Tamandua tetradactyla: one gene and its partners. The protein of the gene in region 2 purifies or fractionates together with the protein of the main gene of each other region. This does not show direct contact. Links are inferred from orthologs where the notes say so. Each region holds a gene or a part of one and is shown on either strand. Other genes may lie near its edges.

Region 1 (6,964 bases), on a different chromosome or scaffold from region 2:
AACTGAACATGGCAAAATAGTCCCTCTTCTGAGCTTTACATTTGATGTCAAACAGTGAAGCAAATCCCAAAAATATATACAAGAAACAGCTTTAAATTTACAATAGGTGGTTTCCCATACTGATTAATCCCTGCAACTAACTCATTGGCTTATGCAATTCTATTGAAGAAAAATAAATAAATTGCTAGCAGCGCTATTAGGTGACCATTCATCCATTGACAATTTGCCCCAGTTATTCAGTGCTATATTAAACAGTATATTGGAAGATAGAGTAAGTAATAACTCCAAGCTTCCTAATAATTTCAAGGAAAATTATAAAATGTTTGAGACCCTATCTTGGAATATAAAGTGTGTATGACTTCCAATTTCGATTTTCTGTAGAACAAGAAGTCATCCCTTCATGGACAGGCATAAAGCACATCACATTTTCTGTTCTGCTGATGCTGTAAATTCAATACCAGTTCTACAGCCACATCAGTTATGAGCATTAGGGTCACCATGTGCCCTCAGCTCTCCAGCAGTGGACGGCTTGGACAAGCACGGGTGCTGCTACGGGGTAAGCCTGTGTCCTCCAATGTGACAACTGAACGTCCATCTCCTGTCCGGGCCCCCACCCAGATGACGCCTTCGGTACATCAGAGCAGTGGGGAGTGGTTTCAGTCTCACAGCCAAGTTAGAATAAAGACCTGGGCACATAATACACATGCTTCCTTTTTTTTTATAAATAATTCTGAATCTTGGGCAGCCATTCTCTTGTAACTACCTTACAGTTTCTAAAAGCAGTCATTGCCCAAAGCTGGAAGAACTTAAGTCTTCTCAGATGAGCATGGAATGATTGGAGGGAGGTAAGCAAAAATAAAGTTTAAATGATGAAGTCTGGGGGTGCAAGGGTAGTTCCATGGTAGAATTCTCGCCTGCCATGCGGGAGACTGGGGTTCGATTCCCGGCCCATGCACTTCCCCACTGCACCCCACCCCCAAAATTCAACAAATGGTGCTGCAATAACAGGATAGTCATACGAAAAAAGAATGAAATGTGACCCCCACCCTTCAGTGCATACAGACACACACACACACAAAGATGAAGTCTGACAGGAGAGCAGCTGGATAAGAAAATTAAAAAAGGAAACATTAAAGTTATTCCTACTATAATGCAGGTATTCTGACTTTCATCCCATGGCATACTTCTGAATCCATCCTCGAAATGTTCAACTGCACTTATCGCTGTTTCACAGATGGCTGCCATCTCTGGCACTGGGGGTTCATCTGGGTTCAGATCACACAGCAGTAAACACATGGATAACAGAACTTCAGAAACAGTTACACTGGAGACCACTGTCATCTTAGAATAGTGAGCAAGTGCCGCTGCTACTGTCAATATCTGGATGATAAATTCTTGTGGTAAATGCAACCTTGACTCTTTGGAGAGGTGGGCTGTAGGAAAATGAATTGTCGAAAAGAACACACCGCCTTGCTATGAGCTGTCGTTAGGTCCTGGAATTGCGGACTGTCGATGAAAGTTTTCGTCCCCAACTGGACCTGCAGAACACTGTGCTGGGGGGAGGGTGTGCCATGGGCCAAATTGCCGAGCTCCTTATTAATCCGTGTCAGCCCACATGTGTGCTTTCTGCCTGGCTCCGTGCGATTTCGGCGTGTGCCCAAAGGTCCAGCCCAAAGTCCTGATTATCAGAGCAGCAGGGAAGGACTGAGTCTTCCACTCACATCGCTTCTCCAGACACAGAGTCCGGGGCCCCCACCCCCCTCAAGCTGCAAGCTCAGCCTCCTCCCCAGCCCTACGGGGGTCATGCCAATATTACAGTTCTTTTTATTGCCAAATAATATTCTACTGTACGGATATACCACTTTTTGTTTATATCTTCATCACTTGAACATTTGGGTTGTTTCCATTTTTTTGGCAATTGCAAATTAATGCTGTGAACTTTCATGTAAAAGTGTCTGTGTGAACAAATGTTTCCATTTCTCTTAGGTAGACACCTAGGAGTAGAGTTGCTGAGTCATATGGTAACTTTGTTTAGCTTTTTAAGAAACTGCCAATCTATTTTCCAAAGTGGATGTATCATTTTACAATCCCACCAGCAACATATGAGGGCTCCAATTTTCCCACATCCTTGACAACACTTACTATTGTCTGTCTTTTTATTAAACAGATTGTAGAGGGTGTGTAGTGGTTATTTAAAATGGTTTTAATTTGCATTTCCTTAATGGCATATGATATTGAGCATTTTTAAAATTTACTGTCCATTTAGATCTTTTCTTTGGAAGCATGTCTATTTAAATCCCTTGTCCATTTTTCAATTGAGTTGTGTTACTATTATTATTATTTATTTGTTTTGGCTTTTAACAAGGGGAATTTAATAAGTTGCTAGTTTACAGTTCTAAGGCCGAGAAAATGTCCCAGTTAAAACAAGTCTATAGAAATGTCCAATCAAAGGCATCTGGGGAAAGATACCTTGGTTCAAGAAGGCCGATGAAGTTCAGGGTTTCCCTCCCATGTGAGAAGGCACATGGTGAACAGTCAGGGCTTCTCTCTCGGCTGGAAGGGCATGTGGCGAATATGGCATCATCTACTAGCCTTCTCTCCTGGCTTCTGGTTTCATGAAGCTCCCCAGGAGGCGTTTTCCTTCTTCACCTCCAAAGATTGCTGGCTGGTAGACTCTGTGCATCTCATGGCTACATTGTTCTGCTCCCTCTGAATCTCCGAGTTGTATTATTATTATTAATTTGTAAGAGTTCTTTATATATTTTGGATACTAGTCTCTTATCAGATGTATGATTTACAAATATTTTCTCCCATTTTGTGAGTTATCTTCTCACTTTCTTAGTGGTGTCTTTCGAAGCACAAAAGTTTTAAATTTTGATGAAGTCCAATTTGTCTTTTTGTCTTTTGTTTTTGGTGACATATCTAAGAAATCATTGCCTAATCCAAGGTCACAAAAACTTACTCCTTTGTCTTCTGCTAGAGATTTTAATAGTTTTAGGTCTTGCATTTATGTCTGTGCTCCACTTTGAGATAAAGTCTGCATAAGGGGTGATGTAGGGGTCCACCTTCGTTCTTTCTCGTGTAGCTATCCAGGTGTCCCAGCACCATCTGTTGACAAGATGACTCTTTCTTCCTTGAATTATCTTGGCATCCTTGTCAAAATTCAATTGACCATAACGCACGGGTTTATTTTTGTACTCTCAGTTCTAGTCCCTGGATCTGTATGTCTTTCTTTCAATCTTACAATAAATTGGCTTTAGCCTCGCCCTACATGTCGTGGAGACAAGTTACCTCCTTACTGCCAGGAGCCTGAGAATTCTCCGGGACACATTTCCCCGCCGCTGCTTCTTGCACCAATTCCTTGTTTTCACTTCATTTCCTGCCTCGGCTCAGGGTCTCGCCTCCATAACGCAGCCCTTCCCACTCCGACTCTTTCTGGAACCCCTCCATCCCTTCATCCCTTCAAGTACCATAAAAACACAGTGAGTGACAAACTTTTACTCAGAATTTAAGAAAAATGGATGAAGAACCTCGCAAAGCTCACATGGGCAGCAACTTCGAAAATCACTCAGCACCGCGGCTCAAGGGCTCCCGAGCAGAGAGCCGGGCGGGGAGGCGGGGAGGCCTGGGTCCGATTCCAGAGGAAAACAACACCCACGCAGAAGAGGCACGCTCACCAGCCAACCATAATAGGACTTCTTTCTTTGCGAGCGGCCCCCTAGTGTGTCCTGAGCCCCTCTCCCATCTCGGGGGCTGCCGGAGGTGTGCGCTTCCTCAGGATTTGAGGGGCCGGGGGTGACAGGGCGCTCATGCCCAGGCAAGACCGGAACTAGAGTCGCGGGGCCCGGGCACCGGGGGACCACAAAGACACCGGGACACGGCGGCGCGCGCTCGCCTGCAACTCGTTCCCCGCACTTCCGGCGCGCGACCCGGAAGCGGAAGGGGGCCATTTCTCTCTTTTTTTGCTCCTGTGCGTCTCTCCTGCGTGGTTCGATCTCTCCGGGCAGGAGAGCGGCGGCCGTTCCCTGTGTGGTGTGAGGCGGAGGAATCCGCTGAGGGCGCGGGGCAGCCGCGGCCATGGCGGACGTGACCGCCCGTAGCCTGCAGTACGAGTACAAGGCGGTGCGTCTGGGCTGGCGGGAGGACTCGGGGCGGAGGAGCGGGATGGGGCCCTGGGGCTGAGAAACAGAGCTGCGGCCTGGAAGCCGACGGGAGAGCCGGGAAACCCGAGGAGAAACCGGGGTCCACGGCGCTGTGAATAACCCCGTTGGGGGCTGCGGCGGGCGGGCCTGGCCAGGGGCTCTGAGGGTTCATTCCCTGCCCCTTGCACAGGTCCCCTCCGCCGGGCCCCCACTCTTTTCCCTATGGCCTATTATGGGCTCTGCTAGGAGTAAGGATGGTTGGACTGAGTTGACAGGCCATAGAACTTAGTTCAGCCCTTCGCCCCATGTGCAGTTTTATAAAATGCTACAGCTGCCTCCTTCCTTTATCATCATCAGTTGATATCCCTGTGTTATAGGATATCGGCCCAGCTGATGTCAAAGTTGCGATAAAATTGTGATTTTTTCAGAATTCGAATCTTGTCCTCCAAGCTGACCGGTCTCTTATTGACCGCACCCGCCGGGATGAACCCACAGGAGAGGTGCTGTCCCTGGTGGGGAAATTGGAGGGCACGCGTATGGGAGATAAGGCTCAGCGGACCAAACCTCAGATGCAGGAGGAAAGAAGGGCCAAGTGAGTACGCTGCGAATACTAGGTTTTTTCTCCAGATCAGAGTCCCTTCTCAGTGAATTTTTGCTGAAACGCCTGGTGCAAGAGACAGGTCAGTGTCATTCAGACACCTTGGTGGAAGTAAAAGCAGTACCTGAAAGTTAAAAGGTTCTTTGGCCTTAACAAGTGTGGCTGCAGTGGAAAATAACTTTCTGGGAACTTTTTCTAACATATCTTTTTCTGGTCCACAGACATCTTCATCTTCACAGCATTTATGAGACCCTTGAGTCAGTTGCTCTTTTTCTAATTCCTTTGCTGGCTTCCTGCCCTTACTTTCCTTTGCTGTTCCTCACTTCCTACTTTTTTTTTTTTTTTAAGTCTTAAGCTAACGCCTAAGCGTCCACTGGTATGAAAAACTTTTTTTTTTTTTGAGTACTTCTTGGGGTATATATTTCAAAACCTAAATAATTATTGACTTTATCTCACCATTATCTTTTTTTTAGAGACACATGTAGAACTTTTATTTTGCAGGGTTTAAGTCCCTCCAGAAAAAGTTTGCTTTTTTAGACTTGCAGTATCTAAGCAAGAACATTTAAAATAGTTTGACATTTTTAATGATAGAATGGTGTGGGTTCATATTCTGTAAAAAAGAAAAGAAAAAAGGTGAAATAGAATGGCCTGTCTTACAGATCACTGGGGAGAATTACGTGCAAAATTAATTTTCTCCTTAAGCCAGACAAGCATATATAACTATCTGCTGTGGATAGGATTCCAGTTTTAAATCGTGCTGGAAATAGCAATGGGTGGAAAAGGAAAGTTTTGGATGGGAGCTTTCGAATAAACCATTATCTTTTGCCCCTGAACATCTCTGTTTCCTCCTCGTGATAAAGTCTCAGACGTTCCTATGCCTGTTTTGATTAAGGGAGTTACATTTCAAACAGTTTTATATCATTGGCCCTCTACTTCACAGAGTATTCCGCCTGTCCCAGTTTTGTTGTAATTTGTTGGGAGTCAGTGGCAGTAGATTTATCTTGACTCTTCAGTTTTTGAAGGTAGGGAAAGAAAATGCCTCTGAGCGGTGAAAAACAAGTCAAAATCCGATGGTATAATGTTATACAAAGTGTAAAGAGTTGTCTTCTTTTAATTAATGAGGGGAATGTTCCATTGTAAATTTAGTGTATCTAATAAGGGGATTCCTTTTCTGTGTCCCATCAAAAAATGTCAGTTATAAAGTACAATTATAATAATATTCTTTGGTCAGTTATAACAAAGGTACTACACTAGTGCAAAGTGCTAATAATGGGGTGGGGGCAGGTGTATATGGAAACTCTATATTTTCTGCATGATTTTTCTGTAAACCTATACTACTTTAGTAATATATAGTAAAGAAAGAAGTGTTTCCCGCAGGTGACTAAGGGCACATGGAATCATTTGCTGAGATGTAGGTTCTTCTTTTCAAATGTTGGGTGTGCGCCATGAAGCTGAGACAGAGAGGGGTGCCGTCTTGATTTGGTTTTGCCTTGGAGAGGGAAGAGTCTACCTGTTTAATGCCAAATGTGTGTCTGTTAGGCGAAGAAAGCGTGACGAGGACCGGCATGACATCAACAAGATGAAGGGCTATACCCTGCTGTCAGAGGGCATTGACGAGATGGTGGGCATCATCTATAAGCCCAAGACCAAAGAGACCCGGGAGACCTATGAGGTGCTGCTCAGCTTCATCCAGGCCGCCCTTGGGGACCAGGTAAGGCATCAGAGAGCCAGGGAAAGGGTCAGTTCCGAGAGACACAGAACAATCTTGTTTTTGGATTTGTTGTGTGGGCCATTACTGAGAGTTCACTTTATGTGTTTTTGGTCCTTGCAAAAACTCTCTTAGATAAGTGCTGTTATTCATTTTCCCTGTTATGAAACAGAGACCTGAAGCACAGAATGGTTAAATTCTTCTCCCGAGACTCAGGGGAGGTATCTGGATGGGAACGCAGGTAGTTCACAGAATCTGCTATTAGCCCTTACACAAGCACGGTTAGGTTAAGAGTTCTGAGAGGCTCTGGGAAAGTGAGAGATAGAGGAAGTGAGGACAAAGAATTCCCAAAAGTGACAGGCTAGGGGAGGGTGGCAGAGTGCCTTTCCCACTTGGAGATGTCATGGAAGCTGCATCCTCCCACTTACCTTATCTTTATTAAGTTGTGTGACTCTTGAGTGTCATTTTTGGTCCACATTAATGAAAATGGTCAGGGCCTGGTGTGACGCAGGAGGG
Region 2 (6,864 bases):
CAGTGCTAATTTCTAACCTGCCTTCCTGCCTACCCTGCAATCCCTACTTCGATGGGCCCGTCCACAAGCCTAGTTTGCTTCTCATCTCCCCAAGCTTCATGTGTCACTGCAGTGAAGCTTCGCCTTTCTATTTGCATCTTAATGGCGTGTATTGGCCCTGGGCCACCTTCGGAGCCCACTGGCCTGACCTCCTCCCCTGTGGGAACCCCTCTGCTTGCTCATCTCCACCTCCAGACGCTGAAATAAAAATATTTGTTTTCACTTGGCTGTGGTCAGAGTGGTGGTGTTTCCTCCTTGCAGGGACTGTCTTCCACTTGTGACTGCTGACAGTGCCTAGAAGAGCTAGAGGGCCTCTGTTGTCTCGTCAGGTGCCTGTCAACAGCCATCCAGCTTTGAGCTGACCTGACCTCCATCTCCTCCTCATAGGCACCTTTCAAAAGGGGCTTATTTTTATAGAAGTGTCTCACGTTACCAACAATATAGGTGTGGTAGGAAAAGCCAAGGAGGTGGGGAGGCCCCACTGGAGCCCCACTCTACAGGGAGGTCCCCAGGCCTGAGTCCCTCTCCCATACAACACACCTGGGAACCAGGTCAGGTGTGGGGTGGGCCCCATCCTGTGGCCAACCTGCTGGGACTCTGACCCTGACCTCCCCCCCCATCCCACCTTACCCCCGTGTATGAGCTTGGTGCCATGTTACCAGATGACCACAAATGCAGTAGTTGGGAACACTACTACTGCAGTAGTAGTGGGTTGGACACCTGGGCCCAGGTTCCCAAGTTCCTGTGGGTTGGAGCCACACGCACACCTGGGCCTCTGCCCTGGCCCTCTGCAAACATCAGAGGCCTGAGGGAAGGACCTGCCTGCAAGCTTCCTCAAGATGTACACAGAATTCCCTAGGGTTGAAGTCATTTTCTACTGGGGGGGGGGAGGGGCAGCTGGGGCCGATCTCAGACAAGGGAGGGCCTGGAACACTTTCGCAGTTCACCTGATTAGGTCAGGCCAACCCCACACAATCTCCCTTAAGTAATAAAAAAAAGCTGACGGGACCTGTATTACACTGGCAGAATTTCTTCACATTCACACTACTGGCTAGAAGCCACAAGCCCCAGGAGTCAGACCTTGGGATCATCTCAGGATTCTGCCCACCGCACAGTCCCCCACCCTCATTTTCCCTTGGGAGCGCTAGAAGCCCCACAAGGCCCTGGAGCCCCATCCAGGGCCACAGGGCTTCCCTCCATCCCTGTGGTAGGTCCAGTTCCTGGTCTGTAACGTGTGCTCCATTCATTTCACCACTGTCCAGTGGAAAGAAAAGTATGGAAAAAGAGGTATGTTTATTTTAACACAGCCAGCATGCCAGCTGGCGGCAGGGGGTGGAACCCACCCTAGCTCTACCCAGAGTCCCAGTAGGGGCAGCCCTGTCAGCAGGAGTAGAATTCACCAACGGCTGGGGCATGTGCCGTCCCCAAGTGCTTCACAGCATCTTCTGACTTCGTACGTGTGGCTGGCACAGGAGGGTAGCACCAGCCTTCAGATGCCTGCTAGGCCCTCAGTGGAGGTACTGGAGGGGCCAGGGGTGCAACCCTGCCTCCCAGGGGGTCCAAGGGCCCAGCTTCAACGATCATGTGGACGTCTGTTTCAGCATGCTAGCAGCAGTTCACTGCACCCACTGTGAGGTGCCAACCCTGTCCTGTGGTCCCAAGGCATGAGAGAGGGAAGAGTGCTGGGGTGTTTCTCCAGAAAATTAGCCCCTGCCCATCCCCACACAGCCTTGGGCTTTCCAAGGAGGGGAAAGGCAGGGGGTATAAAATAGTCCATCACAAATCCAAGCCTGGCCAGGAAACTGGGCCAACCTGACAACCCAGCCCAGGGCAAAACGAGCCAAGGGCTGTGCATGTCTTGGGGGGGCTCATGCCTTCAAACTGCTCAGCTGGAACCGGGCTTCCTCGGAAATGCCGAACTGCTCCAGGGGGTCCTGGGAAGGTGAATGGGGTGGTCGGGAGCAGCAGTGAGCCCAGGGCCCTTACCAGAAGGCCAACCCCAACCACTGCCTACTCCTGCCCGCCTGCCCTTTGCCCACCTTGCCTGTCATCTTCTGAATCTCGTTCCTGTAGAAGATCAAACTTCTACGCATGAACTCGTAGCTGGGGGAGGAAACCACGTGCATTCACGGGGCTTGTTCTGCAGAGCTGCGCTGCCCCCCACCCGCCTCAAGCTGCCCACTGCACCCCACCTGGCCTGACGCAAAGCCTCTGTCCACTGCTGACACTGTTCCTCACTGCAACACTCAAAGTGATACTTCCTTTCTGGGTCCTCAATGAAACCTGCAGAGGGAGCAGCCTCTGGTCACCCCATTCCAGCAGCCACATGCCCCCGCCTTCTGTTACCAGTGTCCATATGTGCCGTCTGGCTCCAGCCCCAGCCCAGGCTCATTTCTTCCTGCTCCAGGGACCCGTGGCAGTTCTCAAGGTGAACCAAGTTGCAAGGCCTGGGATGACATGCCACAGCCAGCCTGGGCCTTCCTGACACTGCTGGGCTCTCCACATTAACTCTCAAGATATGAACAGAACACAAAGGCTTCCTTTGGGGCACTGGTAACACTGGACGCTAGCACCACGGCCCTGATCGTGGGCCTTCATCCGCCAGGAAGGCCAGCTCCAACGTCCCCACCTCCAGCAGTTTTCCTGCCCACACCCAACCCCAACCCTAAACACACTAGGCTGGGTATTTCTGTACCAGACTCCATCTGTCCCTGCACATGTGAGACCCTCAAGAAGATGGCCTGGGGAGAATCCTCTCAGGAGGCAGCACAAACCCAAACACTGAGGGAGATAACCACCCAAGCGCCCCAAGAGGGCAATGCTTAACCCTAAAGAATGACAAGGTCCAAATGGAGTTCTGGGAGGCTGCTACGAAGTCTCCAGGATGGTTGGGTGCATGCAATCAGCCCCAGTGACCGCAGCCTGGGGCCCTCGGGAGAGAGCAAAGTCTGGGGGGAGGCCCAGCCTGAAGGGAGAGGCTGCGCCTCAGAGAGCCGACCTTGAGAAAAAGGACTTTGTGTCGGGACAGAGGTGGTGTCAGGCTGGGGAGGGGATGGTGGGGAGTCCTTGTCCCCTGGCCCCACTCACTGATGGAGAAGACGCTGGGCTCTTCCTTGGCGACTCTGCAGTGCTCCAATAACAGGGCTCCGATGGGCTGGAGGAGACAGAGGAGCAGATGCGGAGAGCAGGCCAGGACCTGGGCCCCCACTTCACAGGAGGCTTGTACCTCCCCTGACCTCGGCTCCCTCCCCAGCCGAGCGGCAGGTTCCAGGTGGAAAGGATGCAGACAGATGGTTTTCGACCAGCAAACCACGGCACCCCTGGGTCAGACGATCTGGGGGAGTGAAGAGGCCGAGGGGCGAGAGACTGTACCCCGCGCACCCTTTCTGCTCCCGCCTTCCTGGGACCTCCCCCTTTCCGCGGACGGCGCCCCTACCTCGGCTTCGTCCGTCCGGAAATAGAAGAGGAAATTTACCACTAGCTTCACCAGCCGTCGCTTCACCACTGTGGGCACAGAGCGGGCTCAGGGCGGGCGGCCCAGGGGCCAGCCCCGCGCCCAGCCATCCAGTTAATCGGGTCCCCCGAAATGCGGAAAGCCGAACGCCCCAGTTTCTCGGGCCCCGCTCACCGCTGCCCTTCTTGGGGCCCCGCATGCCCAGCTCGGCCGCCATTTCGGCCGGCTGCCGCGACAGCGCCTGCAGCTCCTTCTCGTTGTAGCGCATGGCGCCGCGGAAGGGAGAACGCTGGACCCCGGTCCGTCGCCTGCGGCCAGCGCCAAAAAGGTCTCAACGCACAGTACCGGAAGTGCTGCCACAGCCAGTGCGCCTGCGCACTCCCTGGCCGGCCACTCTGTCGATTACCTGAGTGTAGCGATGGGGTCCGCAGGCGAGGGGTGCATAGGGGACTTGGACGGTCGTTACAAGGTCACAGAATAAACTGGACCTGGGGTGAAAACAGAATCAGGTCCACCCCACGATTGCTAGCATCCTTCACTAAAGCGGAGAGTACGGGCGGGAAGGACTCTCAGCGGGCTCTGCCCGGAGGGCTGACCCCCACGCGACGCGGAGCAAATCCGGAGGGCGTTGAAAGTTGTGCGCACGCGCACTGCGGCTGCCAGCCAGGCCTCCCAGCCCCGCCCTCTTCCCGCGCTTTCCGAGCGGTTCGCCCGAGCCGCCGGGCGAGCCGGGCATGCGCACGTGGCAGGACCCGCCCCACTTGCCCCCGGAAATGCTTTCTTAGCCTACGACGCGCGCGCGGGTGAGGTCGTGGCGACCACTGAAAGCGGGGACGGCTTGTGCTCCCTCGGACGCTGGTGAGGAGCGGCGTGGATGATGGTGGTGGGCTCTGGGTCCTGGGCTTCCTTGTAGGGTTCCGCGTGTGGGAGGGGGCATCTGCGACGGGCCGCGCGGCTGGAGGCCGCGAGCTGAGGAGCGAGCGGCCTAGCGGTCTTCCTCGGGCTCACTGTGCGGGCCTGAGGCCGGGTCCCGCCCCCAGGAGGGGCGAGGCCAACACGCCCCAGACCCTGTCCCCTCCCGGCGGGGCCGCGGTGTGGCGAGCCCTCTGCTGAGACAAAACTTGCCTTTTAGCTGTCGGACTTTGGGACCTTGGGGAGGGGGTGTCGCTTCGCGTCTGGGAACCTCAGTTTCCGTCTCTGTAAGACGAGGGGTGTGGGCGATCACTGCCGCTACTAAATTAAATCAGGTCGTGTCAGGGAGAGCGTGGAATACCTTCCGAGGGCACCCAGGAAATGTTAGCGGGCCCGTTTTGCATATGAGCCCAGAGGTTACCTGATCGCCCAGGTAGTCATTGTTTGATGGCCCGTGACCGCCGATCTGTGGTCCCTGAGGGCAGGTGGAAAACCTGGGAGGAACTCTGCGGAAAAGTGTGCTAGATTTAAGGAAATTACCGTATTTTCATCGGGCACTATAACCCCTACTCCTTCATGCAGTCTCAGGCCTCAGAGGCCGCTTTTCATGTTTTTAAAGCCGTTCTCCCTGTTCTCTGTCTTGGTAAATAAATTAACTTCTTTCTGGACTTACCAGTTTTAGTCACAGTCTGCTGCTTTTCCACCGTAGTTGGTGAGAACTGACTTCTCCCACGCGCTGCAACATCTGCGTCCAAACCTTGCGATTACATTGCAACTTTTAGTCAAACCCTTAGTTGTATTTTCTAGTACTATAAATGTGTGTGGTTCGTCGCTAATGCGTTGTAAGGCGTGCCTTCTTTCGTCTACCATTACTTTTTCATCAATCCTTGTTTTCCTGTTTGCCTGGTTTTCTTTTTTTTAAAATTTATTTATTAATTTAAAAATAAAATAAAACAACATACATAATCAGTAATTCACAATATCATCACTTAGTTGCATATTCATTTCTTAGAACATTTGCATTAATTCAGAAAAAGAACTAAAAAGACAATAGAAAAAGAAATAAAACGAACACAGGAAAGAAAATAAAAAAGATTATACCTACCATACCCCTTACCCCTTGCTTTCGTTGATCACTAGCATTTAAACTAAATTTATTTTAGCATTTATTCCCCCTATTATTTATTTTTATTCCATATGTTCTACTCCTTTGTTGACAAGGTAGATAAAAGGAACATCAGACACAAGGTTTTCACAATCACACAGTCCCATTGTGACAGCTGTATCATTATTTAATCATCCTCAAGAAGCATGGCTACTGGAACACAGCTCTACATTTTCAGGCAGTTCCCTCCAGCCTCTCCATTACATCTTGAATAACAAGATGATATCTACTTGATGCATAAGAATAACCTCCAGGATAACCTCTCCAATCTGTTTGGAATCTCTCAGCCATTGACACTTTGTCTCATTTCCCTCTTCCCCCTTTTGGTGGAGAAGGTTTTCTCAATCCCTTGATGCTAAATCTGAGCTCGTTCTAGGGTTTTTCTTAATCCCTTGATGCTGAGTCTCCAGTCATTCCAAGATCTCTGTCCCACGTTGCCAGGAAGGTCCACACCCCTGGGAGTCACGTCCCACATAGAGAGGGTTAGGGTGGTGAGACTGCTCGTTGTGTTGGCTGGAGAAAGGGGCCACATCTGAGCAACAAAAGAGACTCTCTTGGGGGTGACTCTTAGGCCTAAATTTTAAGTAGGCTTGAGCTATCCTTTGCGGGGTTAAGTTTCATGTGAACAAACCCCAAGACTGGGGGCTCTGCCTATAGCTTTGGTTGTCCACTCTGCTTGTGAGAATATCAAGAATTCAACTTGGGGAAGTTGAATTTCTCCCCGTTCTCACCACTCCCCGAAGGGGGCTTTGCAGATACTTTTCCACTCACGATCGAATCACGCTGGGATTCATCGGGGCATCACTCTGGACAAACCAGCAAAATCTCATGTCCTACCTGAGAGTCTAAGCACTTATGGCGATCAATCAATCTACATAAGTTATATTAGGAAATGCACTAGTCAAAATATAAATTTTGTAATTAATAAACATTTTTTGCTTTAGTCTCACACAGAAGGTTACATTTTAAAATATTAATTACCATCTATTTTCAGTACCCTGCAATAATGACATTCCTTTGTTCTTCCTCATGCAAAAACATTTTTAAAATTGTACCTTGTACATTTCACTATTATTATACACTCTAGGCATTTCTGCCTGGTTTTCTTTGTACCTGTTACCGTTTCTTCCTCCAAAGTTCTCACATCTCACTCTCCTGACATCTCACTCTCCTATCAGTTGTATTTTCCATGAGCTCAAATAAGTTGATTCCTATATTTCCCCTGGAGACTCCCCTCTCAGACCTGCCCAAATTGTACTGGTTGCTTTGTAGCCTTGCAGCAAAGCTATAGTCC
Region 3 (7,987 bases), on a different chromosome or scaffold from region 2:
GGCACCCTCCACACCTTCCAAAAACCCCTCAAAATAATAATAATAATAATAATAATAAACCAACATCTACGGCCCAGAGCAATCTGCAGTAACTGTGCCCCTCTCTCAGCCCATGTAATATCACTTCTCAGTCAGTGTGAGTATGCAATGACTAGCTGTTCAAATTTACAGAAGGAGAGTCCCAGAATCCCATCGTGATGGGCAGGGAGGGTGTCTTCGGGCAAGTGCATACACACATGAAACCACTAAATTGTACTGAATCTGCACTTTAACCCCACTCTTCAAAGACCCCCTTCAGATGGTCCCTTTCCCCGACCCACAGCCCTCCTTCACCCCATCCTCAGCCCCACACTCACCCTTCTTGACAGCATTGACCTCCAAGGGTTTCAGCCCCAACTTTGCCCGGAGTTTACTAAGGAAGAGAGGCACAAGTGTTAGGGGCTGTCAGAGAAATAGGACATCAAATGCATTTCTGAACAAAAAAGAGAGTGAAAACAGGACGAGAATGAATGCTCCTAAGGCTCCCAATCATGGGGGCACTGGGAAGGGCTTTGGCCTCCAGAACACAGAACACGGTACTGGGCATGGCGTGCCCCTCACCAGTGGAATGTCACTTGGGTTTCTGTTTCCTCTTCATAACCCAAACAGTTGGCTAAGAGGACTGAGATGGCCCTTCCAACTCCAGTCAGAATGCTTTATTATGTAAAAGCTTCCACAAGCAATCACCCCAGAAGCCACTTCTCTCAGGGGGGAAAAAAAATAGAACTACAAGGAACACAATACTTACTTGGTCTCCTCGATGCTGAGTGATGAGGCATCTCCTGAACTGGTGGTTTTGGAGCTAGCAGCTGGAACAAGAAATGTGGCTTAGGAGCTGAACCAGGGTCAAGATGCCAGCATCCCTTATCCAGCACCTGAGCCTTGCTGAGACACCTGCAAACAGCAGCAACTGTGGCCTTCCCTCACAGTCTTCCTCCTAACAACTCTTCCTATCTGAGCTGCAGCCTCTGAGAATCCTGCTTCTACATACTTCCCTTTTCTGTCCCAAGAGGGCCAATCTTCTGCATCCCTCCCTCACACTGCCACCTCTCTACCTTTGTACGTTGCACCTTCAACCTGCACTGCCCTCGCTCTGGCCTTGTTTGCACTGTAAAATCCTACCCAAATGCAAAGATGAAACACCATCTTCTCTGTGAAGGCCTGTCAATTACTGGATCAGAACTAACTGCTCTCTCCTGAAACCCATAGCACGGTTACTATTTCTGGGGCTGTTTCTCCCTGACAGTACAGGGACCATAAGGGCAGCATGACTGAGTCAGGGGCTGACCAAATCTACACATGTGATTCATATATCAAGAAGCAAACACTTTTTAGTGCCAGTTCTGTTATGCTGGATGCTGGGAACAGAGACAGAAAAGCATTTCAGTCCTCTTCCACCCACTTCACAAACAGCAAATTACTTCACTGAACATCACAGAGAGAAGTTAGACACCCCAGCTAGCTGCCACCTGGCTTGCATTCCCACCCTATCAACCTACCTCTTTATCCAAAGGTTCCTTTCTCCACCTGGGCCTAAGATTCCAACCCCTTTGAGCTCTCTCCAAGGTCAACAGCCCCATTTCTAAACCTATTAGCTATTTTTTAGTTCTGGTTTTGCTTAATCTCTTGTGGCATGTCACTCCCCTTCTAAAACCACTATCTTAAACAAACAAACAAAAACATTCTTCCCGCAGACCTCATGCTTGAGACTCACCTGGTTTTCCTCCTTTGGCTCCTCTACCTGCATTTTTGGAGCATTGTCCTCTGCCCACTTCTAAAACGTTGGCATTTCTCAGGTTCCCGTCCTGACCCTTTTTTCTCACACCTCACTCTTTCTCAGTGGACTTCATTTGTCAACCAAATACTCATACCCCCGCAAATGACCCTATTCAGCCCTGACCCTGTGTTTCTCCATGCATGTCAAACTCAATATGCCCCTAAACTGAATTTATTATTCCCCTCCTCCCACAAGTCTGCTTTTCCTCTCATCTTCCCCATTTCAATAGACAGCTCCACCACCAACCTAGATGCTCAGGTCAAAATCCAACGGGCCATCCTCAATTCCTTTCCTTCACCACCCTCATCCAAGTTCTGACTTCTAAGCACTTCTTCCATCTGTCTCCGGGCTCTATTCCATTGCTGCTGCTTTGGCACTGTCCAACATCAGCCCACACCTGTTTTTCTGCCTCCAGTCTTGCCTACTCTGAATCCACCCCTCCAAGCAGCGAACTTTACAAAATGTGAATCTGATCATCTCACTTCTCAACTGAAATCCATGACTCCCTGCTGCCCTAAGGACAATCTGCACACACTATAGTGACCTCATTCATTCATCCTTTAACTTACTCAACACATCAATTTAAGGCCTGTGATGTGACAGACAACTGAGGTCTCTAGAGAGCCTCAAAGGAGGACCCTTTAGTAACTAGGGCTGACGGAGAGAACCCGGGGCGGTGCTCGGCGAGCACTTGTCCCTAATCCCAAGGCCCGCACGCGGCGGGACCCCTGAAGGCCCCGTCCCTCCGCAGGTCCTACTCCTCACCCGCCTCGTAGCCGTCATCGCGCTTCTCCCGCTTCACACGCCGCTCGGAGGGCTCGGCCTGGCTGCGCTCCCGCCCGTGCGCGCCGCCCCGGGCCTCGGCCTCAGCTCCGCGCCGTCCGCTCCCGCGCTCGCCCCCGCGCTCCCGGCTCCTCTTCCTTCGTTCGCCGCCGCCGCTGCTACCGCCGCCGCCGCTCCGATGCTTGTGTTTTTTGTGCTCCCGGTGCCGCGGCGGCTGCTCGGTGGTGCCCCCGGTGCCGGCCGCCGCTGTCGTCCCGGCCGCCTCCTTCTCGCCGCGGTGCTTCTTGGACGACCCCATGGTGGAACGTCTGCCCCGAGCGGGCCGCCGCCGAGCCCCGACGACGCAAAATGGGAACGCTTCCGGGTCGCCCGGCGGCTGCCGTGTTGCCGGAAACCAAGAGCGGCTGCTTCCGTCGGTCGCGCGGAGGCTGACCCAGAGGCTCACGGGAAGGCCGAGGTCGGCGCCCCAAAGTGCGTTTGGCTGCAGGCGAGGGAGGTTTGCTCAGTCGGCTCAACTGCGCATGCGTTCCTTTGGGTGTGCGAACAGGGTCTGCGGAAGATCGAACCCCAGAGCTTGGAAACCCCGCCTTGGCTTGTGTCACCTGCAGCCACGCGGTGCCCACTGCCTCACGGCCTTTCCGTGGACAGGCGTCCTCCTAGTGGACTCCATCGAGTGTTGAACAGTGCAGCGTGACCTCCTGCAGACCCCCAGCTCCTCAGCCCGCTCCGGGCTTCTGTAACCACCACAGTCAGCCATCGCTGCCTTTCGATGTCCCCTGGATGGGGCTTTTCAGCCTGGGGTCTGTGAACTGCCAAGAAGCTCCAGACGAGCTTTTGTGTCTGAATCCCTTGAAAATTGAGTGCAAAATATGGCGCATCTGTGTGTGGCCATTGTTTTTATCTTGAGGAGGGGGTCTGTAACTTTTTTGGTTTTGTTTTGCTTTTTTGGGGGGGGGTCTATAACTTTAAGGCCCAGTTCACACAATCCTTCGGACACCCCCTACCCAAAATTGCTCATTTCCGCTGCTGGGTTCCGGCGGCTCCCCGTCAGTCCCCTGCTATGGTTGTTGTGCAGGTCGCTTTGAAGATCAACCCCACCACCACTACCACCACCAGTGTTCACTGGGGATCCTCAAAGGCAAGGGCCTTGTTTGTCCTGTTCACTCCTGAATTCCTAGGACCACGTGTGCCTTCCATGTTGGAGACTGGGCATGGGTTCCCCACCCCTCAGAGACTGGGTTGTGTGTATGTTGGGGGAGGGGGTTGAGCAGACAGAACAGTCAGCTCCTGGGGGAGGTGGGGGCAGACACCTGCCACCTCCTACAACCAACTAGCAGATCTCCCTCCCCCTGTCCACCCCAGAAATCCCACGCTGTATTTTCCATAGATCATTTAATTTTGATCTGGGGGACTGGACGCCAGGTCCCGGCTGGGAGCAGAGCGCCAGTCAGGCTGGCTGCCGGCATGTCTGGATTGTGTCCTCGGGGGGCTCTGAGAAGAGGGCTCTGTTCTCAGCCCTGATGGTCTGTGGCTCCTTAAAGATGAGGACACAGATAGAGGCCACAGGACGCCACAGCTGTACCCTCCACTCCCCACCCTTCGGCGCTAGGAGGGAAAAGGCCATGTGTCTGACAACGTAGGTTCAAATCCCAGTTCCTGTGCTAGCTTGCTGTGTAACCCTGGGTAAGGGATGTCACCTCCCCGAGCCTCAGTTTCCTTATTGTGGAGTGGACCTCAGGAGCCCTGCTCTGCAGAAGTAAGGGACAGTAGACATAGGGCAACCAGTGTGGCACCAGCCCCATAAGGAGGCTTGACGCATGGCTGCACAGATGGCTGCCGTGACCCAAAATGGCTCGGCTGCTTACTTGGTCCTGGGTCTTGAATTCTCAGTTTCCTCATTGAGAAGTGGCAAGAATAACCCTGGCCTTTCCCTCTCTGGGGATATGGAGAACAACTGGGCCTCGGGAGGGCTCTGCTCGTTGCCAGGGCCAGGCAGAATCCTTCAGGCAGGGGAATGGGGCAGGGCAGTCCTGAAGCCTCCATCCAGGGTGATCAAAATGCTGCCCAGGGAGTTTCTCAGCCTCCCGCCACCCCACCCCCAGATGTCCCCCTAGGCTGGGAGAGGGGAGGGGAGGGGGGAGAGGAAGGGAGAGGGAGTGCTTCCTCCCCCATTCCCCACGGCTGGGCTAGCCAGCCACTTGGCCAGCCAGCCGACTTCACCTGGGTTTCCTGGGGCTGCTGTCCACATCCCCCTTGCCCGCCTCAGCCAGCAGCCGCTCCTCATCCAGGCCCAGTGACGACAGCACTTGGGAGAAGCGCCGGCTCACAGTGAGCCGGGCATTGGCCTAAGAAGAAAGAAGAGGGGTTCCTGCCAAGGATGCAGTGGGGCTCTGGCCACAGTTGGGGGTGGGTGGGTTCCCTGGGTTTCCAGGTGGGCACCAGCCTGGGGGGGCCCAGTCCCCACCTTGCTGCCTACCCCCACTCAGCCAGGAAGAAGCTTTTGTCTTCAGAGAACAGCCTTGTGCTTGCCCAGGGCCTCACCTGCATGGCCTGCTGGAACAGATAGGGCCGGGCCTGCACCCTGTGCTGGATGCCCTGCAGCTCCGCCTGGTACTCGGCAAAGCGCTGTCGCTCCTGGCGCCTGCACAGGAGAGGCCACTGGGCAGCTAACCTGGCCCCAGACCCGCCAGCCCTCTGGGCACAACCCACCCCCACTCCTGAGCCTATTTGTCCTCACTAAAGGCTTTATGTGCTCCCCAGCTTTCCTTCACTCCCACTCTTGCCCTAGATTCTTCTGGAGGTCAGCAGGATGGGAATTGTTCACCCCATTTTATTCATGGTGAGCCAGAGGCTCAGGAAGGTCAAGAGATTGGTCCAGCGTAGCACAGCTGGGTAGTGGGGGCTTCCCAGTCACCCCCCTTCCCCAAGGGAGAGGAGCCGGCACTGGCTTCTCAGGCCCCAGATAGCTGCTTGTACAGCTCTTCCCTGCCCGCAGCCATATCCCTGCACCCTCACACTTCAGCTCTGGGGAGGCTGTTGGCTGTGCGACTTTGAACAAGGCAGTGCCCCTTTCTGGGTCTGGGCACTTTTTACTTTTACTGGGCTCTTACGGGTACTGGACGAGCTTGCCAGCATTTTCTGTGGTTCTTATAAATAGGCTGTTCAGAAAAGGAGACAGCGAAACAAAAGAGATGTGTTGCAAATGAAACAGCACATCCTGGAAAAATCGGGATTCTCCTGGGGAAGCACAATTCTTTTTACAAAAACCCAGTTTGTGCACTTGCCAGAATCTACCTGCTCAACAAACTAGGCACTGTCTTGTGTGATAAGAGCATCTTGGCAGCAAGAGAGACCCTCTGGCCACAGCATATGGGGACAAGTGGCCCTTTGCAAAGCACATAGGAGAGGCTGCCTGGTGTGGGGGAGGAGCCACAGAAGGCATAGGAGGGGAGAAGCAGGCATAACCCGGGACTCGGGCTGAGACCTCTGGCAGGTGTGCCCTTTGGAAAAAGTCTGCCTTGTTGGGCCAGGACCCTTGGCCATGTGCCAAGGGAAGGAGCCAAGAAAAAGAAATAGACTTGGAAACCCCATCATCAGCAATATGAGTTACTGCAAAAAAAGATGGAGGTCTTTGCCAATCAAGAGGGAATTTACAACAGTTGAAAGGGGAGGGAGACGAGGGGCTGCCTTCCAGCCTGGCTTGCATTTTTCCTGCTCATCGCTCCGTGCTATTTTTGTTAGAAATGAGGACGGCCACCTCTCGGAGCCCCAGAAGAGAGAGGAAGCGTTGCCAGGGGCTGTCAGCCCTGCCTGTCATCTCAGTAATGAGAAGAAAACATCAGGCCTCCCTATCACAGGGTAACAGTGGATGACCCAGTTGACAGGCCTCACTGTGGCCAAACCTCTCTTGCCCGCCCCTCCAAGGCAGGGCAGGGTCTCCAGTCCCAGGGCAAAGTTCACTGCAGTAAGGCCTGAGAAACCTTGCCGGAAATACCTGCACATGCCTTAGCCCTCTCTTTAGTAAACGATCAAAGGGGCACAGGTGACACCCTTCTGAGCCCAACATCTGCCCCTTGGTGTTCTGAACCTTACACTGCTTGCCTTATTAAGAAAACAGGCAGAGTGATTGTGAAAACCTTGTGTCTGATGTTCCTTTTATCTATGGTATGGACAGATGAGTAAAAAATATGGATAAAAAATAAAGAAATAATAGGGGGAACAAATGTTAACATAAATTGAGTAGACTGAAATACTAGTGATCAATGAAAGGGAGGGGTAAGGGATATAGGAAAAAAAACAAAACAGGAGGAACAAAGGTGAAAATATATTGGGTAGATGGAAATACAGTGGTCAATGAGAGGGAAGGGTAAGGGGTATGGTGTGTGTGAGATTTTTCTTTTAATTTCTTTTTCTGGAGTGATGCAAATGTTCTAAGAAATGATCATGATAATGAATACCCAACTATGTGATGATATTGTGAGCCATTGACTGTACACTAAGTACAGAATGTTCATATGTTAAGAATGTGTTTATATGTTGTTTTGTCAACAAAAATATTTTTAAAAGTTTGAAATGCTAGTGATCGGTGAAAGCGAGGGGTAAGGGGTGTGGTAGGTATAATCTTTTTTTTTTTCTGTTTTCATTTTATTTCTTTTTCTATTGTCTTTCTTTTTCTGGATGGATGCAAATGTTCTAAGAAATGATGAATATGCAACTAAGTGATGATATTGTGAATTACTGATTATGTTAACTTTTATTTCATTTGTTAATTTTTTAAATTAATAAATAAATTTAAAAATATATTTTAAGAAAATAAAATAAAAAGAAAACAGACAAGCTGTGAACTTGAGGCCTGGCAAGCGGACAGCATCTCTCCAACCACTGGCCAGAAAACACACTTGACCTCTGGAGCCTCAGTTTCCTTTATCTTTAGCACAGGGGTGATAAGAGTCTTAAAGAGCAGGCCATCAGAGTCCACCTGGTCTTTGGCAGCCCTGCTGAGGGCATGACCCTCCTCTGTCTGCAGCACCTGCTCGCTGTGACCTTCTCCCAGGACACAGGAGACCAGGGGTGGACAGGGCTGCACTGGTGCCATCTGCACCCAGTATGTACTCAGTGCATTAGCAATTATATGGTTTTGGGTGATTTGTTTCATTAGTTCGGGCTGTGTGGGGAAGCAGCTGGTGTGCTTTACCTACAGAGTGGGAACTGAGTGCTCCGAGGTGGCACAGCAGGTGAGAGGCTGCTGGGTTGGTATCCAAGCTTTGATGCTTACTTGTGACCGTGGCACATTATTTAAGGTCTCTGAGCTGCAGCTTCCTCATCGGTAGAATTACAGGAGTGATGATAATCCTTACCTCGTGGGCCTGTTACAAGTTTTAAAAAGAT
Region 4 (7,978 bases), on a different chromosome or scaffold from region 2:
AGGAAAATTACCATTAAAATCTACCTCCCTCAACTTTCTTCATGCATTTCATAAAGACTTCTAAATGTTTAGATGTCAATCTGACACTATATTAATATATTTATCTAACTTTAGTATATTTCCTAAGTAAATATAACTTAGGGAGTCAGTCTGAGTTTCAAAATATACCAAAAATAATATATAGAAAGTAAGCAAAAGAACAAAAGCAAAATTAGTTATTCAGGCTATTTCAATATAAAGCAGGAGGGAATAAAATGTGGCCCGACCTTTTTTCAGATGATCCCAACAGAGAGAATTTTGGTTATGTTAGAAGCAATGTTTAAAGGGTCATCCTAAATGTTAGGTCAAAAGATTCAGAAAGGTACATACCAGCTGCCTTCTTCTTATCCATGCCCTTTCCCACACAGTTCAATGCTGCTGTGACCACTGTGGGCTCTGAGAAACCCAGCACCCTCTTCACTGTCTTCTCTATCCATGGTTTCAGCTCATCCAGCTCCCTCTTAGACAGTGCCATTCTTTGGGAAAAGTAGAAGGATAGATAAAATAGAACTTGATACTGCACCTAAAAACAAATCAGGAGAGTGGTTAAGACAGAAGATAGGAAAAAGTTAAAGTGACCCAGAGCAATGATTAATACATCAGGAAAGCCTTTCCCACCCATATTCTCAATCCTTAAGGAGGTTCCTCCAGTTTATTCAAAGTAAAATACTTTCCCCAAGAACCACACTTCAAAGCAGAACTAGATTCCATTTGATTATTATTTTTTTTTTTTGGCACGGGCAGGCACCAGGAACCGAACCCGGGTCTCTGGCATGGCAGGCAAGAATTCTGCCACTAAGCCACCATCACACCACTCTCCATTTGATTTTTAAACCTAACTCAGTAATTACCAGTGGATCAATGAACTCTGTGAAAGAAGTCAACCAACCCTGGGAATAATCTGGTCTAAGAAATGAGTTCTAGCTTTGTTTCCAATCTTGTCTTATCAACAAGGCCTGGCAAACGTATAACATGAAAACTAAACTGACAGACTCTATCCTGAAGTCAGCTTTTCTATTTCTTCTACTTCCGGGGATGCATTCCCTAACCCAATCCTGACCCATTAAAAGTTTTCTTTCTCTTAAGGGATGTCAATAAGCATTCCTTAAGAAATGACAAGCAAGTCATTTGGTACTAAAGCTCATAATCCTTAAGAACGTTCTGTCTCATTTCTCTGTAGTTATATTCATCCCTGTGGGAATTCTGTACCCAGATAACCAGTTCTCTCTCACGTTCTCTGACTTGATAAGAGTAATCCATCAGCTCAGAAAAGAACACCTTCATTCTGGATATACTCTGACCTTCTCCCTTTTCACTTCTATTTTTTAGCTCAGCAGAGAAACACTATGATAAAGGACTCTCAATAAAAAATCTTTGTATTTGTTATTTAATGCTAATTAGTGTTACTTTAAAACATTATTCATGTTTACATGTTGGTTTATCTAAATCTCAAAACTTCTCATGGGCATAAACAACATTTTATTTCTCTGATTTTTCTCTATAGTGCCTAAAAGAATAAATCACACTGATCTCAATTTCCAAACTAAACTCCTCCCAGCAGTACCATATATCTGGGAGTCAATCTTTCAAGATGTTTCAAGACATCTTTTCTCCTAAAAGACAGAGTCTGATTAATTTCCACATCCTTGGCAGGTTTACCCTCTGTAAGACCTATTGTCAAATAGTGAATTTAATTTTGGTATAAATAAATAAAGCTAGTAGAATAAAAGAACGAAAGTAAAGTTGAAGGTTGTATTAAAAACTGACTATGTTTCTCACTGACAAGTTAAATAAATAATTTATGGTGCTAAGTGAAAAAGCCCTACTGTCCCCAAATGAAACAGGCTTATCAATCTCTACATGTTAAATATCCATTACTCTAAATAGGCGTATTCAGGACTATAGTGGGTACACAACTCTGGCAACAAGAGCTCAAACAGGATAGAAATAAAACTAAAGAATTTGGACATCACCCTGCCCTTTACCAGCAACCTTGTGCAAGTTAATGAATAAAGCTAATTAATTTCTCTGAGCCTCAGTTTACTCCTAAACTGAAAACTGCCATATCTACAATGCACTTAATTCATTCAATAAATATTCATTGAGCAAGTACTATCAATCAGTGTAGTAGGCACTGAAGATACAAACAGCAGTAAATAAAACAGACAAGAATCCTCACCCTAACGGGGCATACAGTCCGCTAGAACTGAATCATGGACGAGAAAGTGGAAGCAATTTGAAAACACAAAGCAATAAACGAGGTACCATCATGGGTGCCCAAGCACTATACTAACAAACGCATTCAAGTTTAAACCGATCTTTCTTAAGATAATGTACAAATGAAACAGCTAGTGGACAAAAATTAAAATATTCAAATAGTAACTAGCTTTGTCACGAGTCAAATATCCAACAATAACTGCGTGGTGGTGGGGGGAGGGTGGAAGAAGGAGGAAGGCAGAATGATATCTGAATGGGCAGGCTGCAGAATTCAATCTTCCGAAAGAATTCCTTACTCCGTGCTCTTCTTTGCTAGAATCCGAGTGACCCCCCGGAAATCCTCATTCTTCTATTTTTACTCTCTCCTCTTCTGGCTTTAACTCCAGCCGACAACCACCAACCCCCCTTTTCCTTCCCAAACTCCTCACCTCATTACTAGTCTCCCACCCCATCCCCACCCCGCCCCCGCCCTGTTCCTCTCAACAATCCCATTTCAACCCCTTCTCCCACGGAACCTTAAACTTCTTCCAGCCTCCTTCCCATTGAACCCTCCCGTTACGACAGTCCCAGTGACCAAGCCCCGGCCCCAGTCGCTCCGACCGCAGGTTGCCACCTCTGGGCCCTGGGCTACAACTCACCTCACAAACTTCAGCCCCTGAGACGGAGCCCGAACGTTACACCGGAACCGGAAGCCCTCGGACCGCCTTACGGCCCGCCGTCCTTGCCGCCACGGCCGCCGCCACGCCGGCCCCCAGCACGTGACGAGGGAGGGGCGGGACTGTGGGTTCGCGCAGCCGTAGTCGCCACGTTCCTGCTGGTGTCCCTCATGTGTAGAGGGGTCCGAAAGGTCCTGCGTTCAAGTTCCCCGCGGTTTGTTTTCCCGGCTAGAGAAATATTAAGCAAATTGCTACAAAAAAGTTGGTGTTCCCCGAAGCGGAAATTGGGTTGCTAGCAGTTTTCCTCACGTAGAGAATAAGTGCGATAAACTGCAAGTGGAGCTTCTGCGTTCGAGCTCAAACACGGCCTTTCTGGTAAAAAGTAAAACCCTGTAGAATAAGTAGCCATTACTGGCATTTGCCACCCCACCCCTCCCTCAGCCTTCGCTCCCTAACTTAAGAGTAATCACAGAAATCACCCAGGAAGAAAAAGAGTATAGGAGAACTTTGGAGAAAATAGCCCACACCTCGCCCCACCCCCAGCTTGCCTTTTCGTTGATTCATTTATTGACGGAACAAATACTTATTCACCGCCTACCACCACGTGCCTTGCACCCTGTGAGAGTTAAGTATTGCTTAGCGACTTAGTAAGAGCACACGTTCTAAAACCGGACTGCCTGGACTTGAACTCCAGCTCTCCCACAACTGTGTGACATTAGGCAACTCGAGCCTTCTTTTTCCCCTCTCCTCACCTGTAAAATAAGATACTTTGAAAAATCCAAACGAGAGCCATTGATTGCACACTTGGATGGGTTGTATGGTGTGTGAATAAAACTTGGGGAAAAAAATCATAGGGCTGCTCGGGGGATCACATTCGTGGATAAGGGTAATATAGTTTAAAAAGTGCCTTCCGCAGTTCAATAAACGGTAGCTACAAGCCGTGAAACAAAACAGTATATCCAGTAGCCTGCATAAATATATAACAGATGTCTTAACTTTACCACCAAAACTGAGCTCCTGATTCTAACCCCCCATCCCCACCTACTTCCTCATCTTGGTTAATGACAATTTCATCCCTCTAGTGATGCAGGCCAGTAACCTTGGAGAGATCATGGAACCCTGTTTCTCTCCAATCCATCAGCAAATTCCACTGGCACTACCTTCAAAGTATGTACAGATCCACCTGCTTCTCATTACCTCCACTACTACAGTATTAGTCCCTGGATTAATATTGTAGGCTCTGAATCCCTTTCTCTTGCTTCTACAGCACAGTGATCATATTTACACATCAGAGAGATCTTATTACTCCCCTATTTAAAAACCATCCTGTGGTTTTCCATTGTCTCTAGTAAAATGCCCTAGAAGATCTGCCTCACTCCTTACCTCTATTATTGCTCTTCCCTTCACTCATTCAGCTTCAGAGTTCTGACCATTTTGCTGCCCCTTGAACTGCTAAGCATAATCTCACCTCAAGGCCTTTGTACTTGTTGCTTTCTTCCTAGAGTGCTCTTCAGGTGCCTACATGGTTTGCTTCCTCATCTTCAGAATTTTAGTCAAATGTTACTATTACTATATAATTTACTTATTGTTTATTGCTCATTGTTTGACTCCCTCTACTAGAATGCAAACTCCATTAGGGCAGGGATCTTTGTTTTGTTCAGTGATATATCCTAAATGTCCACCATAGCACCTGACACAATTAAGTACCTAATAATTATTTGTTGAATTAAAGGATGAATCTTTTCCAGCAATGTCTTGCTTGCCTCAGCGCCTGCTGAAGTTTGGTTTTTGCTTTCTAAAGGACGGAAGTTCCTTCAGGGCAAGAACTGTTTCATATTGTCTTAGGATCTAGAATAGTGCCAGACCCAACAAGTATTCAATTAATGAGTTAGACATGGCAATGGCAGTATTGCTTTCCACATTTTATCAGGAAGTTTGTATTCTTCCCTTTCTTCCAAACAGAGCTCTGATCCTCTAAATCTCTGATATCAAAAAGCATGTTTGCAGGCAAAGTATAGTTTGAAAAAGTGTGTCCAAAGTTATGACACAGTTTCATATGAGAAATGGGGAAAAAATCAGTTATGTTTTAGATTACAAATGACAAAAACCAAAATTCCATGATGTCTTCTTGGAATAGTAGTTTCGCCGGAAAATTAGTATTTCCCAGGAAGCATGGAATTTCTACATCAAATGACTGGTTTTAAACAGTTGAAGAAATACATGCCAAAACCCACCTTCACTGATAAGAAGGCACGATACAATGGGATAAAACCCAAGTCCCAGCTTTGCAGGGTTGTAATGAATCTTTAATTTTGTTTCAGTGCTCTTAACAGTCTGGGTTCAATTCCCCATAAGGAAAAGTTTTGTGGAAATTGATTTTATTTACAATTTTTGGAATCAAGATGGTTTTAAACCCTTAGTTTCCCAATTGTTCCCAATCACTAGCAGTGATTTCTTGGGGTAATTTTTATAAGACTGTTTCCTCAATCATACAATGAGAATACTATTTTCACTGTAAAAGAGTACTGTGAGGATTAAATATCACATAAAAGATACATGTAGTACAATGCCTGACACATAGTAGGATTCAATAAATCATTGCTAATTTTTTATATACTTTCAAGAAACATTGAGCATCTAAATGGGCATTATACTAGGTAATGGGACTAGAGAGGTAAAAAAGATGAAGATGCAGCCTCTGGGGAACTGAAAGTTAATAGAAGGAGAAAAACAAGAAATAAAGCACAGTATAGCATGATTATAGAAATAAACTGTTATTCTAGAAGTAAACTTATCAAGATACATAGAAGGACACCTGGTAGAGGGATCAGGGAAGGCATCTCGGAGAACATCCAAACCAAAAGTTGATATACAGGGGAAAAGGAGAAAACAGTATATGCCATGATCCCAAAGTGTGTTTGAAAGGGACAAATGGAGAGAGAGAAAAGCTGGGTTCAATCATGAAGGGCCTTAAAATCCCCTTTGGATTTTATCTTGAAAGCAATGGGGAACCAATTACCAGCTTAAGCATGAAAGTGACAAGAGCAGTGTTACAGTTTAGAATAATCATTCTGGCCAAAGTGTGAAAGGAATGGAACCAGACAATGAGGTAGGGGACTGATCAAATGGCAGTTGTAAATATATAGAAAAGTTGTGGTGGTAGCTGGGATCAGGGTTTTGGCATGCGGTCATAAAGCACCAGAGAGGACTGCGATTAAATGGATGCTAGGGATTGAGTGAGGAGGAATAAAAGATCAGCTTTCTGATTGGCACAGCTGAGAGATTAATTGCTAAAATTTATTGAATTCTTACTGTGTGAGATACTATAATAAGTACTTGACAGACATCATCTCATTTAAGCCTCACCACAAACCTGTAGGTACCACTATCTCCATTTTACAGGAAAATCAAGGACTTATGTTAAATAACTTGACAAGATCACTGTTGAATCCAGATCTTTTTGACTATTAAAAGATTATGTATGACCTGAGACTCAAGAGCTCTGAAGCTAAGAAAGTCAGCAGTACCCCATACAGGGACTGTTTAAAAAGTTGAAAAAGGGATCAGACTTTGAGTAGAGATATGAAGGAAGCTATCTGGACAGGATTAAAGTAGAGCAGAATACAGGGTAAAGGATGAGATCATCCATATTTTAAAACTTCAGGTTCTGTGTGAGACCAAAGGGAGAAATGTTTATTTAGTACAAAATTTAAATTTTTGGTAGCACATTATAATTTAACATGTATGGTCAATTTAGTTGAACACCATGCATACATGGAATCTTGAATAGGGCGTGAGATTTTTTTTTTTTTTTTTTTTTTTTTTTTTAAAGAGAGAGGGAGGAAAGGAAGGAAAGATGGAAGGAAGGAAAGGAGGAAGAAAGGGAAACATTTTTAAACATTTTCTTGTTTTATTATATTTTGTTTGTTTGTTAGTTTTTTACATGGGCTGGGGCCGGGAATCGAACCGGGGTCCTCCGGCACGGCAGGCAAGCACTCTTGCCCGCTGAGCCACCGCGGCCCGCCCCAGGGCGTGAGATTTTGTTGGTTTGTCCGGGTTAGTGTGATGCCCCAATATATCCCAGAGTAATTTGGGCAGTGAATAAAGAAGTATTTGCAAAGTCTCCTTGGGGCACTGGGGAGAAAGGGGGAAATATTCAACTTTCTGATTTGGAGAATTTCTGATATTCTCGCAAGCAATGGGGACAACTAAATCGATAGGCCGAGCTCTCGATTTTGGGATTCACCCTTATGAAACATTCCTTCAAAGGATAGGCTAAGCTTACTTAAAATTAGGTCTAAGAGTCACTCCCAGAGGTTCCATGAACTAGGGTAACTTTCCGGAAACTTACAACCTCCAGATGGGTCCCCGGACCAGATAAGTCCTGAAACCTAGAGGGCCCAGCCTCTCCAGAGCATCAGCTAGTTCTATCTCCCTACCCCATATTAGTGACAGCCCCTTCCAACATGAAAGAGTTAGAATGGCCGTAGCCCAAATATCTCTAAAGATGGGATAGAAAGATCAAAGATGATGGTGGTTGTTCTAGTTTGCTAGCTGCCGGAATGCAACACACCAGAGACAGACTGGCTTTTAATAAAAGGGGATTTATTTTGTTAGTTCTTCAGTGGAAAGGCAGCTACCTTTTGACTGAGGTTCTTTCTTACGTGGGAAGGCACAAAGCGATCTCTGCTGGCCTTCTCTCCAGGCCTCTGGGTTCCAACTGCCGTCTTTCGCCGGGGTGATTCCTTTCTGCATCTCCAAAGGCCTGGGCTGAGCTGCAAGTGCTGAGATGAGGTATGCCAAGCTGCTTTGGCTGTGCTTTGGGCTTTCTCATTTAAGCACCAGCCAGTTAAGTCAAATGTCATTCATTGCAGCAGGCACGCCTCCTAGCCAGCTGCAGATGTAAACCAGCAACAGATGAGGTTCACTTGCCATTGGCTCATGTCCACAGCAACAGAACTAGGTGCCTTCACCTGGCCAAGCTGACAACTGAATCTACCATAGTGGTTATACAGAAAACATTAAGGTTTAACAAATGAATATGACTGCTGAATCATTAAATCGTT

Evidence for each region.
Region 1: the proteins of SF3A2 (region 2) and SNRNP200 purify together in Homo sapiens (affinity purification with mass spectrometry; 4 studies listed by BioGRID and IntAct, with this or other methods). This does not show direct contact. The link is inferred for Tamandua tetradactyla from reciprocal best matches to the Homo sapiens genes SF3A2 and SNRNP200.
Region 3: the proteins of SF3A2 (region 2) and SART1 purify together in Homo sapiens (affinity purification with mass spectrometry; 3 studies listed by BioGRID and IntAct, with this or other methods). This does not show direct contact. The link is inferred for Tamandua tetradactyla from reciprocal best matches to the Homo sapiens genes SF3A2 and SART1.
Region 4: the proteins of SF3A2 (region 2) and PRPF3 purify together in Homo sapiens (affinity purification with mass spectrometry; 3 studies listed by BioGRID and IntAct, with this or other methods). This does not show direct contact. The link is inferred for Tamandua tetradactyla from reciprocal best matches to the Homo sapiens genes SF3A2 and PRPF3.

What each region holds. Positions count from the first base shown.
Region 1 is NC_135343.1:2,444,303-2,451,266, reverse strand, and holds the start of SNRNP200 (U5 small nuclear ribonucleoprotein 200 kDa helicase), read left to right. Parts: upstream 1-3,946; 5' UTR 3,947-4,077; coding exon 4,078-4,122; intron 4,123-4,570; coding exon 4,571-4,734; intron 4,735-6,279; coding exon 6,280-6,451; intron 6,452-6,964. UniProt on the Homo sapiens protein: Catalyzes the ATP-dependent unwinding of U4/U6 RNA duplices, an essential step in the assembly of a catalytically active spliceosome. Plays a role in pre-mRNA splicing as a core component of precatalytic, catalytic and postcatalytic spliceosomal complexes.
Region 2 is NC_135337.1:80,639,776-80,646,639, reverse strand, and holds the start of SF3A2 (splicing factor 3A subunit 2), read left to right. Parts: upstream 1-3,861; 5' UTR 3,862-4,351; intron 4,352-6,864. Other genes in the region: PLEKHJ1 (pleckstrin homology domain-containing family J member 1), read right to left, coding at 1,908-1,973, 2,079-2,142, 2,232-2,322, 3,127-3,193, 3,476-3,543, 3,668-3,761. UniProt on the Homo sapiens protein: Component of the 17S U2 SnRNP complex of the spliceosome, a large ribonucleoprotein complex that removes introns from transcribed pre-mRNAs.
Region 3 is NC_135335.1:8,561,511-8,569,497, forward strand, and holds the start of SART1 (U4/U6.U5 tri-snRNP-associated protein 1), read right to left. Parts: upstream 3,005-7,987; 5' UTR 2,898-3,004; coding exon 2,582-2,897; intron 849-2,581; coding exon 788-848; intron 413-787; coding exon 357-412; intron 1-356. Other genes in the region: TSGA10IP (testis-specific protein 10-interacting protein), read right to left, coding at 3,992-4,133, 4,820-4,944, 5,141-5,240. UniProt on the Homo sapiens protein: Plays a role in mRNA splicing as a component of the U4/U6-U5 tri-snRNP, one of the building blocks of the spliceosome. May also bind to DNA.
Region 4 is NC_135330.1:5,492,104-5,500,081, forward strand, and holds the start of PRPF3 (U4/U6 small nuclear ribonucleoprotein Prp3), read right to left. Parts: upstream 3,003-7,978; 5' UTR 2,895-3,002; intron 2,879-2,894; exon of another isoform or gene 2,772-2,878; intron 563-2,771; 5' UTR 515-562; coding exon 370-514; intron 1-369. UniProt on the Homo sapiens protein: Plays a role in pre-mRNA splicing as component of the U4/U6-U5 tri-snRNP complex that is involved in spliceosome assembly, and as component of the precatalytic spliceosome (spliceosome B complex).